Linked DNA regions of Sus scrofa. The protein of the gene in region 3 interacts with the protein of the main gene of each other region in a pairwise test. Links are inferred from orthologs where the notes say so. Each region holds a gene or a part of one and is shown on either strand. Other genes may lie near its edges.

Evidence for each region. The genes of interacting proteins can lie anywhere in the genome.
Region 1: the proteins of EXOC2 (region 3) and RALB interact in a two-hybrid assay, tested with the Homo sapiens proteins (2 studies listed by BioGRID). The link is inferred for Sus scrofa from reciprocal best matches to the Homo sapiens genes EXOC2 and RALB.
Region 2: the proteins of EXOC2 (region 3) and EXOC1 interact in binary tests that used the Homo sapiens proteins (3 or more experiments, as listed by UniProt). The link is inferred for Sus scrofa from reciprocal best matches to the Homo sapiens genes EXOC2 and EXOC1.

The regions. Positions count from the first base shown.
Region 1 is NC_010457.5:31,073,438-31,076,937, forward strand, and holds part of RALB (ras-related protein Ral-B), read right to left. Parts: intron 1,103-3,500; coding exon 894-1,102; intron 1-893. UniProt on the Homo sapiens protein: Multifunctional GTPase involved in a variety of cellular processes including gene expression, cell migration, cell proliferation, oncogenic transformation and membrane trafficking.
Region 2 is NC_010450.4:55,206,391-55,209,890, forward strand, and holds part of EXOC1 (exocyst complex component 1), read left to right. Parts: intron 1-4; coding exon 5-25; intron 26-1,508; coding exon 1,509-1,696; intron 1,697-3,500.
Region 3 is NC_010449.5:338,652-342,846, forward strand, and holds the start of EXOC2 (exocyst complex component 2), read right to left. Parts: upstream 2,801-4,195; 5' UTR 2,403-2,800; intron 1-2,402. UniProt on the Homo sapiens protein: Component of the exocyst complex involved in the docking of exocytic vesicles with fusion sites on the plasma membrane.

The sequences.
Region 1 (3,500 bases), on a different chromosome or scaffold from region 3:
CCAGCCGATAAGAGCATTTTCAGACACATCAATAGAATGCTAAGTAAAGCTGCCAAGGGTCCTGACACTGCGGCAGGGCAGGGACTGAAACCCAGGTCTGTGTCATCTAAAGCAGGGCTCTCTCCATGCAAATGTCTCCAAAGGAGCCGCAAACGGGCACTCTGACCCACAACTTTCACTCGCCTGACATTTGAGGTTTCAGAAGCCTTAAAGTAGAGCAGAACTGTTACTCCTCTAGCAAAATTAGGAAAAATATAAAAACAGTTAACTCTCGTCAATCTCTCTCTCAGGATGTCTATGAAAACAATGACAGGTTCTTGTGTACAAGCAATGGCTTTGTCCTCTTCAGGGACAAGAAGAGTCTTAAGACCATTTATATTTGGAAATTATAAAACCAGAAAGCTCAGAGTTCCCTGATGCCCTGGTGGTTAAGGACCTGGTGATGTTACTGCTGTGGCTCAGGTCCTACTATGGCCCAGGGCTCGATCCCTGGCCCAGGAACCTCTGCATGCCGTGGGCATGGCTAAAAAAACAAACTATGAAGCCTCAAGAGATTATAACAAATGATGAACTATAATGAACCATGATTCAAAACGCCCCAGAAAATTCTTTAGACAGATTTCTTCCTAACAAGCTCAACCCTGGACCATTATACTCAGCCCCAAATTCCTTCCAAGTCTAAGACATGAAAGGAAGGCCAGGAGTTCCCTTGTGGCGCAGTGGGTTAAGGATCTGGTGGTATCACTGCAGTGGCATAGGTTGCTACTGTGACATGGTTTCAACCCCTGACCCAGGAACTTTCACATGCTGTGGGTGGCCAAAAAAAACCAAACAAAAAAAAAAAAGGAAGGCAGGCAAAGGGCCTCCTGAAGGCTATTTCATTCCAAACGTACCTGAATTCGGCAGTTGCTGTAAAGGATTCATGCTCTGTGATTGAGAACACGAGGAGGAAACCCTCCCCACTTCGGAAGTAGTTGTCTCGAATGGCTGCGTAGTCCTCCTGGCCAGCCGTGTCCAGAATATCTATCTGGACTTCCTCGCCATCAAGAACCACTTTCTTTCTGTAACTGTCCGCTTTGGTGGGTTCATAGTCTTCTACGAACTGAGGAAATAAACAGCATAATTAGTAATAGTTTTGTCTTGGGGAGGGTTTTTTTGTTTTGTTTTGTTTTGCTTTTCAGGGCTGCCTGAGGCATACAGAGGTTCCCAGGCTAAGGGTCTAATCAGAGTTGCAGCTGCTGGCCTACAGCACAGCCACAGCAATGCTAGATCTGAGCTGCATCTGCGACCTACACCACAGTTCATGGCAACGCCAGATTCTTAACCCACTGAGCGAGGCCAGGGATTGAACCCACATCCTCACAGATACTAGTCAGATTTGCTTCTGCTGCACTATGATGGGAACTCCAAGAATAGCTTTTTTTTTTTTTTGTCTTTTTGCCTTTTCTTGAGCTGCTCCCACGGCATATGGAGGTTCCCAGGCTAGGGGTCAAATCAGAGCTATAGCTGCCAGCCTACGCCAGAGCCATAGCAATGCAGAATCTGAGCCGCATCTGCGACCCACACCACAACTCACGGCAATGCCGGATCCTTAACCCACTGAGCAAGGCCAGGGATCGAACCCGTAACCTCATGGTTCCTAGTCGGATTCGTTAACCACTCTGCCACGACGGGAACTCCATCCAAGAATAGTTTTAAGACAAATAAAATTTGCCAAAGAATATATTTCCGTACATGGGTACTTTGCCTATCATCAATGGAGTATTTATTGAGGGCCCATAATTATCATACTATGTGCAAGGCACTCTTAAAGGACAAATAACTCCTTATGCAATACTTTTCTTCTTTGCTGCTTTCACTTCTTCCATTTTTCATTTTTCATTTTGTTTTTAAACAATCAGAGCAGATAGTCCCATTTTACAGGTGAGGAGACCAAGCAGAAAGCAGAACACTTGGCAACACTCCTGTGGAAAACTGTAATACAAGCACCAGCAAGGGTAAGGGACAGGAGCTCTTGTTCATAATCTACCCAAGTATAAAACACATCTGAGTGACTGGGTCACCATGCTGTATAGTAGAAAACTGACAGAACACTGTAAACCATATTATGAAAATAAAAATCAGTATGTAAAAAAAATTAAAAAAAAAACACATCTGAAAAGTAATATGTCAAGAGGTACCAAGAGGCTTCAATAACTATACATGATACACTCCGAATGCGTCAAAGATTCAGTGTAAAAAATAAGACCCTCAAGTACTTGAGGAAAACATGGGTATTGAGATCCCCTTATTACCTAGAAGGAGGGAAGGCCTTTTTTTTTTTTTTTTGTCTTTTTGTCATTTCTTGGGCTGCTCCCGCGGCATATGGAGGTTCCCAGGCTAGGGGTCGAATCGGAGCTATAGCTGCCAGCCTACGCCAGAGCCACAGCAACGCAGGATCCAAGCCACGTCTGTGACTTACACCACAGCTCACGGCAACGCCGGATCGTTAACCCACTGAGCAAGGGCAGGGACCGAACCCGCAACCTCATGGTTCCTAGTCGGATTCGTTAACCACTGCGCCACAATGGGAACTCCGGAAGGCCTTTTTAATTATCACTCAAAATCCAAAGCCAGAAAAAAGAAAAAATTGATAAATTAGACTCCATAAGAAGTTTTAAAACTTCTGTATGGTATAACACACTATAAATAAAGACAAATGACAGCAGGGAAAAAGTATTTAAACAAATATCACAAAGAGCCATGTATTTGCAGTTCCTAGAAACAAGGAGGGGAAAGAAAAAAATCAACAATCCAGTGGGGGCGGAGTTCCCGTCGTGGCTCAGTGGTTAACGAATCCGACTAGGAACCCTGAGGTTGCGGGTTCCATCCCTGGCCTCACTCAGTGGGTTAAGGATCTGGTGTTGCCGTGAGCTGTGGTGTAGGTTGCAAATGCGGCTTGGATCCCAAGTTGCTGTGTCTCTGGTGTAGGCCGGTGGCTACAGCTCCGATTCGACCCCTAGCCTGGGAACCTCCATATGCCGCGGGAGCAGCCCAAGAAATGGCAAAAAAGACAAAAATAAATAAATAAACAATCCAGTGGGGAAAAGTGGCAACAGATATAAACAATTCATAGAAAAATGAATTCATATGATGGTTAAACATATGAGAGAAGGTTCACCCTCACTAATAAAGAAAATAAAAATTGTAACTATCTTTGCCATACCATTTTTCACCTACCAAACTGGCAAAAATCCCACAGTCTGACGACATACTCTGGGGAAAAGACCCTCCTGCCCACTGCTACTGGGAACAGAGAACAGTGCGGCCTTTATGGAGATAAATACGGCAACACTAATGATTGAGACAAGTACTCATCCTGCTTCTAGGAATCTAATCTACACAAACACCTACACAGGTACATCTAAGCTTATCCACTGTAGTGCCACGTGCAATAGCAAAAGATTACAGACCACGGGAATGCCCAGAGCAGGGATCCACATAATGGAACACTATGCAGG
Region 2 (3,500 bases), on a different chromosome or scaffold from region 3:
CCAGAACTGCCTAAAGTTACGGAAGGTGCGTAACACCTCTTCATTTTATTCTATTCCGTGTATTTTTATTACTTGCCATTATTATATACTGTTGGTTGCATATTTTATGAAGTTGTGTGCAGGGAAAATTTTATTACTTCACAATCCATAAGGTAATAAAAAATAATGATAGTATTCATGACTCACTTCCAAAGGACTGTTTTATGGAGGTGAAAATACTTGTGAGGCAGTTATGATCATTTAAAATATTTGTTTAACTACTTACTTGGGTAAGGAGCTGAACAGAACGACCTGGGCTTTCCCTGCCCCAGCGGCTCAGAGGCTGTCCAGTTCCACACTGCCTCAGAGGATGCTAAGCTTGGTTCTGCTCCCTGAAAAACTTTGATGTGTATGCTGTAATCTGCCTGTGCCACAAGTTTTAGCCCCTTCCTTTTTTTTTTCCTGGGACATTATGTAAATCTGCTGAATTACCATTCTTAAGAGTAAATCATTCTTTACTTTGAATTAAGTGGTTTTTGTACTAGGACAAATTAATGTATGGCAAGTCATGCTGATTGTAAATATTCATTTTCATGTGAAGTCATGAATATTTAAAACATCCAGAGTTTGTGATTTAAATCGTGGCCCATGAGTTAATGAAAATCAGTAACTTTATGTCAAGGTTTATTTAGGTATAGAATTAGTTTTTTCACTTTACCTCTCTTCACCTCAAAATTTATATAAAATCTCACATGCTGTTTGTATTTTCTCAAAAAGTTGAACTGAAGCATTAATGATTCAGAAAGCATCTCCAGATTTGACCTCTTGGTCTTTTGTTGTGAAGCAGGAAGACCATTTATATTTTTGCAATTTCACACAGCCACTTTGTTGTTGCGCTTCTTACAGTACAGCTATGGAAAGTTTCTACTAGCTTATCTTGAGAAATTTTATTAATGCTTGCAAAATATTTTTAAACAAAGAAAAGGAAAATTCCATTAGTATTTTCAGTGCTCAAAATGTGAATCATAGATGCATTTTTAATTTCAATTGAAAATTATTGGGGAAAAAAACCAAAACATAGCAAAAGACAAAAAGAATAAAAAGAACAGAAGAAAATTTTACCTGGGAAAAAAGAAAAGCAAATTGTTTTTCCTGTGTCCTGACTTCATAATCATTTTGTTAGAGCGACGGCCACCTCAGGTAGGAAAAGGGGGGTTAGGATCGCTTCCCCATGTTTTCTTCTTTCTGGTTCTATATTTGTTTGGCAGTTTAATTATGTTTTTGGAAATTGTGACTAAGGCCTATTTTAACCCATCTGTAAACTAGACTGCATGCTTTTTATTTGTTATAATAAACATTAACATATGGGTTCTTCCTAAAAAATTTTTTTCATATGTTTTGAATCATTCGTTCCTATTTTTCAGCCACTAAATGTGACCTGTGCTTATAACTGACCTTTCCTACAAGAACTATTCTGTCATCCTTCCTACTTTTTTACTACTGCATTTTTAATTTTTACCTTTCTTAAGAATCTGTTCCGAGCGGAGAAAATCAGAGTGTGACAGGAGGCGATGAAGAAGCAGTGGATGAGTACCAAGAGTTAAATGCAAGAGAGGAGCAAGATATTGAAATAATGATGGGAGGCTGTGAGTGTGCAATTTCTAATGCCGAGGCCTTTGCAGAAAAGCTGTCCAGAGAGCTGCAGGTGCTAGATGGGGTAAGCCCTTCCCGGAGTCTGAGATGGGTGCTGCATGGCTGGTGGAGGGGACCGGTGACGTTCAGATGTTACTGTGGCAGCTCGTGAGCCTGGCTGACTTTGCTGTCTTTCTCTGAAGGTGTATTCCCAGGTGCCATCAGTCTTGCACTGTTCTTGTTCAATAGACAGAACCACTCCTTTTGGGCCACTGAAGGCAGTTGGCTGAGGTTCTGGATTTGGGGAGTTTTCGTGATATGAAGTAGTAGAAGTAAGAAGTAGCTAGCCTGAAACTGACTTGGGGGTTGATTCCCCAGCCTCTGGAATGCCTCAGGGTGGTTTAGTGCAAAACAGTATTTTGTGATTTAGGAAAAAAAACAAAAACAAAAACAAAAAAAACAGGTACAAGCTAGAAAGAGAGAAATTGGGCTGAAAGCAGTGAATCATTTTTTTTACCCAAAGAGAGCAGAACAGTGTGGTGAAAACAGGGGAGCAGTAGGGAGGATGCTTGACTTCTCTGCTGAAAAGTTTGGAATAGCTCCTCTTCAGTTGTAGGCACATCTCTAGGAAATAAAAAGCTATAGTAGCAGCAGTACTTTGTGAGAAAAGTCTAAAACAAGAACATTTGGGGTTTGTTTTGTTTTGTTTAGATAAGTTTTGCATTTAAGAAAACCTCTGAAGATAATCTGAGAAAAAGAATGTATATATATGTATGTATATGTATATGTATGTATATATATATGTATGACCGGCTCTCTATACAGCAGAAATTGGCCCAACACTGTAAACCAACTATATTGTAATAAATTTTTTTTTAAAAAAGAAAACCCCTTAGAGAATAAGGAATATTTTAAAGACTTAAAGAAATTTGACATTTTATACATGAAAGCATGTAAAAGTTAGGAGGTTAAACTCAGGCTCAGAGGTTACACGAATAACCCAAGCTTACAAGTTTATAAAACTCTCTGGAAGCAAAGCCTAGAAGAAGCTTCAAGATATGAAGATGGAAATGGTCCATTCGGGCCCCCGCATGGCCACTTACGATGCCAGCAGCTCTGAGCCCTGCTGACTTTACAGTTGGGCTGCACCTACAGTTGAGTCACTGTGAATAGTATGCAGAATAACATGTGTAGAATTACCGTTATTAATTTAGGATGATATCCCTTTAATTCTTGTCCAGACTTTTTCTTCATATCATGTTATCTGCCTTCTTTTTTTTTTTTTTTTTTTTGCTATTTCTTGGGCCGCTCCCGCGGCACATGGAGGTTCCCAGGCTAAGGGTCTAATCGGAGCTGTAGCCACCAGACTACGCCAGAGCCACAGCAATGCGGTATCTGAGCCACATCTGCAGCAACCTACACCACAGCTCACGGCAACGCCGGATCGTTAGCCCACTGAGCAAGGGCAGGGACCGAACCCGAAACCTCATGGTTCTTAGTCGGATTCGTTAACCACTGCACCACGACGGGAACTCCTATCTGCCTTCTTAATGTGGCTTAGTGGTTTGTATTTTCTTTTCTAGTTAATATTGCATATATGTTCCAAGCCATCATATTGCTTTGCAGTTTAATTTTTTATTTGAAAGCTTCCATATTTCAGGGAATTCAGAATCAATAGTCAGAATCATTTAGAAGACATTAACAAGGGTTTGTTACTGCTTCGCCTAGGAGAAGTAGTCTCAAATGAAAGAAAAGAAAGAGTAGCCTAGAAGGAGCCATCTCGGGGCCTTAGGCTCCTCTACATCCCTATGCTGCAAATCCTACTAGAGTCATAAATGAGCTCCATGCATCCTTCAGAGGCAGGTGTACTCCTGCTCCCCTCGTGACGG
Region 3 (4,195 bases):
ATTGCTCCAGCCCCAAAAGACCCTTCCTTTCTCTGAATTCCTAAGGGCTGCCGCCCAGCTCTCGCTGTTCTTTAGTGGAAGAAGCAAAAATACCCTCTTCTCAGTCAGGCTTGTGCTCCAACTGGGAGATACAAAAGTGACTAAGACTAATCCCGTTCGGGCAAGAGTTTAGTCTTCTTGACCTACACGTAAATGCCAACAATATCTACGGCCCCTAAGACAACGCAAGGATAGGACAGTACTAAGTGGTTCCAGGATTCACTGAGTCAGAAAATTTCAAAGCAGGAAGAACTCGGAGATAATCTAGTTTTAGGTATTCTCTGACAACAGATATAAGGAAACTAAAGCCCGAAGACGCTACCAAGTAGAACAGCCCATGCTACAAAGCAGGGCTGGTAACAGCCCACTATATGGTGCTTTGACTCAGCTGAATTCTAAGGATGCCTGTGGGTGTGGCCACAGCTGCAAGATGCATAATTTCTCTACGACGACTCTAAATTTGTGTTTGCATCAATAATTCTTTTAAACCAACATGAGCATGCACTGAATCACGGGGACTGTAACTGAACACTCCACCATGTGATCTCACCAGGGAATCCAAGAACACACTCCCAGGGTCTGGGAACAATCAATGCACCGCACACTGCTCAGCAGAGCCATCCTTAGTTCCCATTCTGGTCAATTTCAAAATCCTCTCTATTCGGAGTTCCTGCCAGGCTCAGTGGTTAATGAATCCGACTAGGAACCAAGGTTGCAGGTTCAATCCCTGGCCTTGCTCAATGGGTTAAAGATCCGGTGTTGCCGTGACCTGTTGTGTAGGTCGAAGACACGGCTCGGACCCCGCATCGCTGTGGCTCTGGCATAGTATGGGGGCTACAGCTCTGATTAGACCCCTAGCCTGGGAAGCTCCACATGCCACGGGAGCCGCCCTAGAAAAAGCAAAAAGACCAAAAAAAAAAAAAAAAAAAAAAATTCCTCTCTACTCAACAGGGCCCTGAAACTCATCCATTCAGTATAACATTTAAGCTCCACTCTGTGACAACACAAGGATAGGGCAGTACTAAGTGGTTCCAGGATTCACTGAGTCAGAAAATTTCAATCTGGCCAGGAATTCTGGCCAGGTAAGATGAGTAAACTGGAGAATGGATGAAAAAGTCCTGGAGAGACTAACTGTACGAGCATTTCCTACCCAGCCTAAGGATGCCACTGCCCTGACACTAGAAATTGTCCCAAATCCTTTCTTAAAAGACCGCCTGTGCCACGTTTCAGTACTAATTTCATTTCTCATCAGATTCATATATCCAGCTCTCAAATATTTGTGGAATGAATGAAAATTTAACTTTGGAGGTGAATAATCATCTTTAGAGAAGTATCATTTTCAAAATAATATTCAGTTCAGGAAATTAAGTACCTGAAAAGAAGAAAAAGTCACTTTCTGAAACTTCCAAGAGTTGTTCCAAGTTACATTGGGGGATCCGCTGTTTAAAATTACAGAGTTTCTACTTAACCAAACAGAAAGAACATTTAAGTACTAAGCCCACATCATCCTCTTTCTATTACCTCCTTTTGAGTCAACAACTTTTAACACAAATGTTCCTTGGGAAGCTTTTGGCTTCCAGTTCCTGTGTCGTTACACAAAGCCTGGCCAGAGTATAATCAAAATATTATTGTGCATTGGAAGAGGGGTCCACATGACCTCAACTAAAACTAGCTTTCACTATAGAGCACCCGAATGACTTAATTTAAATGTGGTTTTTACAATACTTTTTAAGTTTTCCTTGTAAGTTTACTCATTTTTTTAAACAAGTGACACACGTCTTCTTCAGCGACTAAGAAACGCTTTAGCGATTAAGAAAAGCTTCCTTCCATTCAGACAAGCTCTTTCGCGAACTGTTCCTTGCCCTTCTGGGCAGGCCCAGGCTGGAAGGAGAAAGAGAGCACAGGTTCGGATGCTCTCACTACGCTGCCTCCGCCGCTGCTAAACAATGAGTAACTGCCCGGCTTCACACTAGTTCCGTAACCACCCTGATCTAACGCTTCCTCGCCAGTGAAATGGGCACAACACAATCAATCTGTAAAAACAGTGACGGCACCCGGGAGAGCTCTCCAGTGGTGCAACCTAAGAAACAAGCAAAGCCTGCCTCTTCCTCGCTCTTCACCCGTAAATTCTCAAGCCTTGCGCAGTGACAGGTAAGGACGCAAGCAGGGCCAAGTGCAACCTCCCGCTGCGGGCCGGCACTCCCAAGGCCCACGCCGGGCTTCCAGGCAGGGCTCCGCGACGCCCGCAGGCGCCCCTCCGCACCGTAAGGGCTGCAGAGCGGCGCGAGGCCGACGGCGGTGGCTAGCCCTCCCGCCTGCACCCCCGGCGGGCCCTCAGCCAGGACCTCGGCCCCCACACCTACCTGCAGACAGGCAGGCACGGACCCAGCGCTCAAGCAGGAGACCCCGGGCCGAGGCCGCCCAGCCTTCAGCGCCCTCACTTCCGCCGCCGGAGCGCCGAAGGCGTCGATCCGCCGCGCAGTCGAGCGCCGAACGCCGGATGGCCGCGGTTTGGGGGCTGGATGGGGGCGGGAGTTGGGAGACCGGCGGGAGCGAAGGACCCGGCCGCGACTCCGACCCTCTGGAGCCCCGGGCTGACACTCGGGGACCGTGGCCTCGCGGCCCCCTGAGCGTGGGCACCGTTCGGGTTCAGCCGGCAGGCACCGCGGGGCGTTGGCCTCGAACACAGAAAGGCGCCCGTCCAGACCCAGCCAGAGGGAACGGGTTGCCTGACAGCGGACGGCCCCCCGCGGCCCGGCCGGAAGTGACGCGCCTCCCGGGGAAGCGGCGGAAGCGGAAGGGCCTGCGGTTTTCCGGCCTTTGGGTTGAGGGGGAAGAGCCGCGCGCCCGGTGTTCCGGAGTGAGCGGTGGCGAGCCCTGGCGGTGGCTGCTCCTGTGCCCCGCCGCTGCTCCTCTCCTCTCGGCTCTGCGCGTTACCCCAGCGCGTAGTCCCAGCGGACACCGGGCCTCGCGAATAGAGTAGCCGAAGGGGCAGCGATGGAGCTGCGCGCTGCGTGCGTCCTCTGGACGCCGAGGCCAAGGTGCTGCCGGTGGACGGTGGCTTCCCTCCCTGCAGTCAGCCAGCCATTGGGTGGCAAGGGAGTTGGCTCAGACCTAGATGCAGATGTGGGTTCGGCTTAGTCTTCCTGGCCTGCAAGGGCTCTGGCAAGCATCACTGCAGTTGCTCACAGTGTCTGATTTATCGTCATGGAATTTCCCCTTTAATCGCCTCGAGCAGGGACCCCCTTGAGAGTGAGTAGGGTTTGACAAAAGAGACAGTAACACAGGAGGCACAGTTTCTGCCCCAACATCACACACTCAGAAGCTGCCACCCTGGTAGAACATTAGAACGGCCTCAAAGGCACAGCTGTGGCTCTGGCTTGGGGTAACATTTTGCAGGGTTGCTATGCTGTTCTATGGGATGCAGGAGGTATTTTGAACCTTATAGCGTGTGATGCTTTGTCTGAAGTAGAACCCTGACACCTGCGGCAGCAAATGATGCTCTGCCAGGGGACAAAATGTTCCACTAAATCTAAAGACTCTTCTCATTCAGGAGGCAAGAATGACCTTTATAACCAGGAGGAAGTAGGGACAGGAAGGATTACTTCTGGGCACTCACTGGGCAGCTTTCCGTGCCTGGTGATATCAGCAACCTTGGCCTGATGGGGGCATGGCAACCAGGGGCTCAGACCCAAGAGGGACAAAAGTCTGGTCACATCATCAAGCAAGCAGTCTGGGTCAGCAAAAGTGCTGGTGGAAGGTGAGGGAGCCCAGAGGGAGTGACAGGAAGATGCTGAGGATCTCTATGGGCCCAAGACCAACTGCAGAGGAGCCCATAGCTCAGCCCATCACCACTCCTGATGTGGGTGTGACATCGGCATGAGGAGCCAGCGAGAGGGCCAGAGAACACAACAGCAGGGCCCACCAGAGCCCACCCACACCTGTCCTGCTCTCTGAAAGCTGCTTTCTGGGAAACCTGCTCCCTGTGCCTCGGGGCTTCCTTCCTGGACGCATGGTAACCCCAAAGCACCCGAGGGCTCCCTGGCTCAGAAGCAGGCTTCTGAGCAGAAGAGGGGCAGGGAGGTGGTGTAGAACTCCAGCTGCCTGGCTCCCCGTGGCTGTGAGGCATGGTACCCAGCGTGCCCAGAGGCTGGGC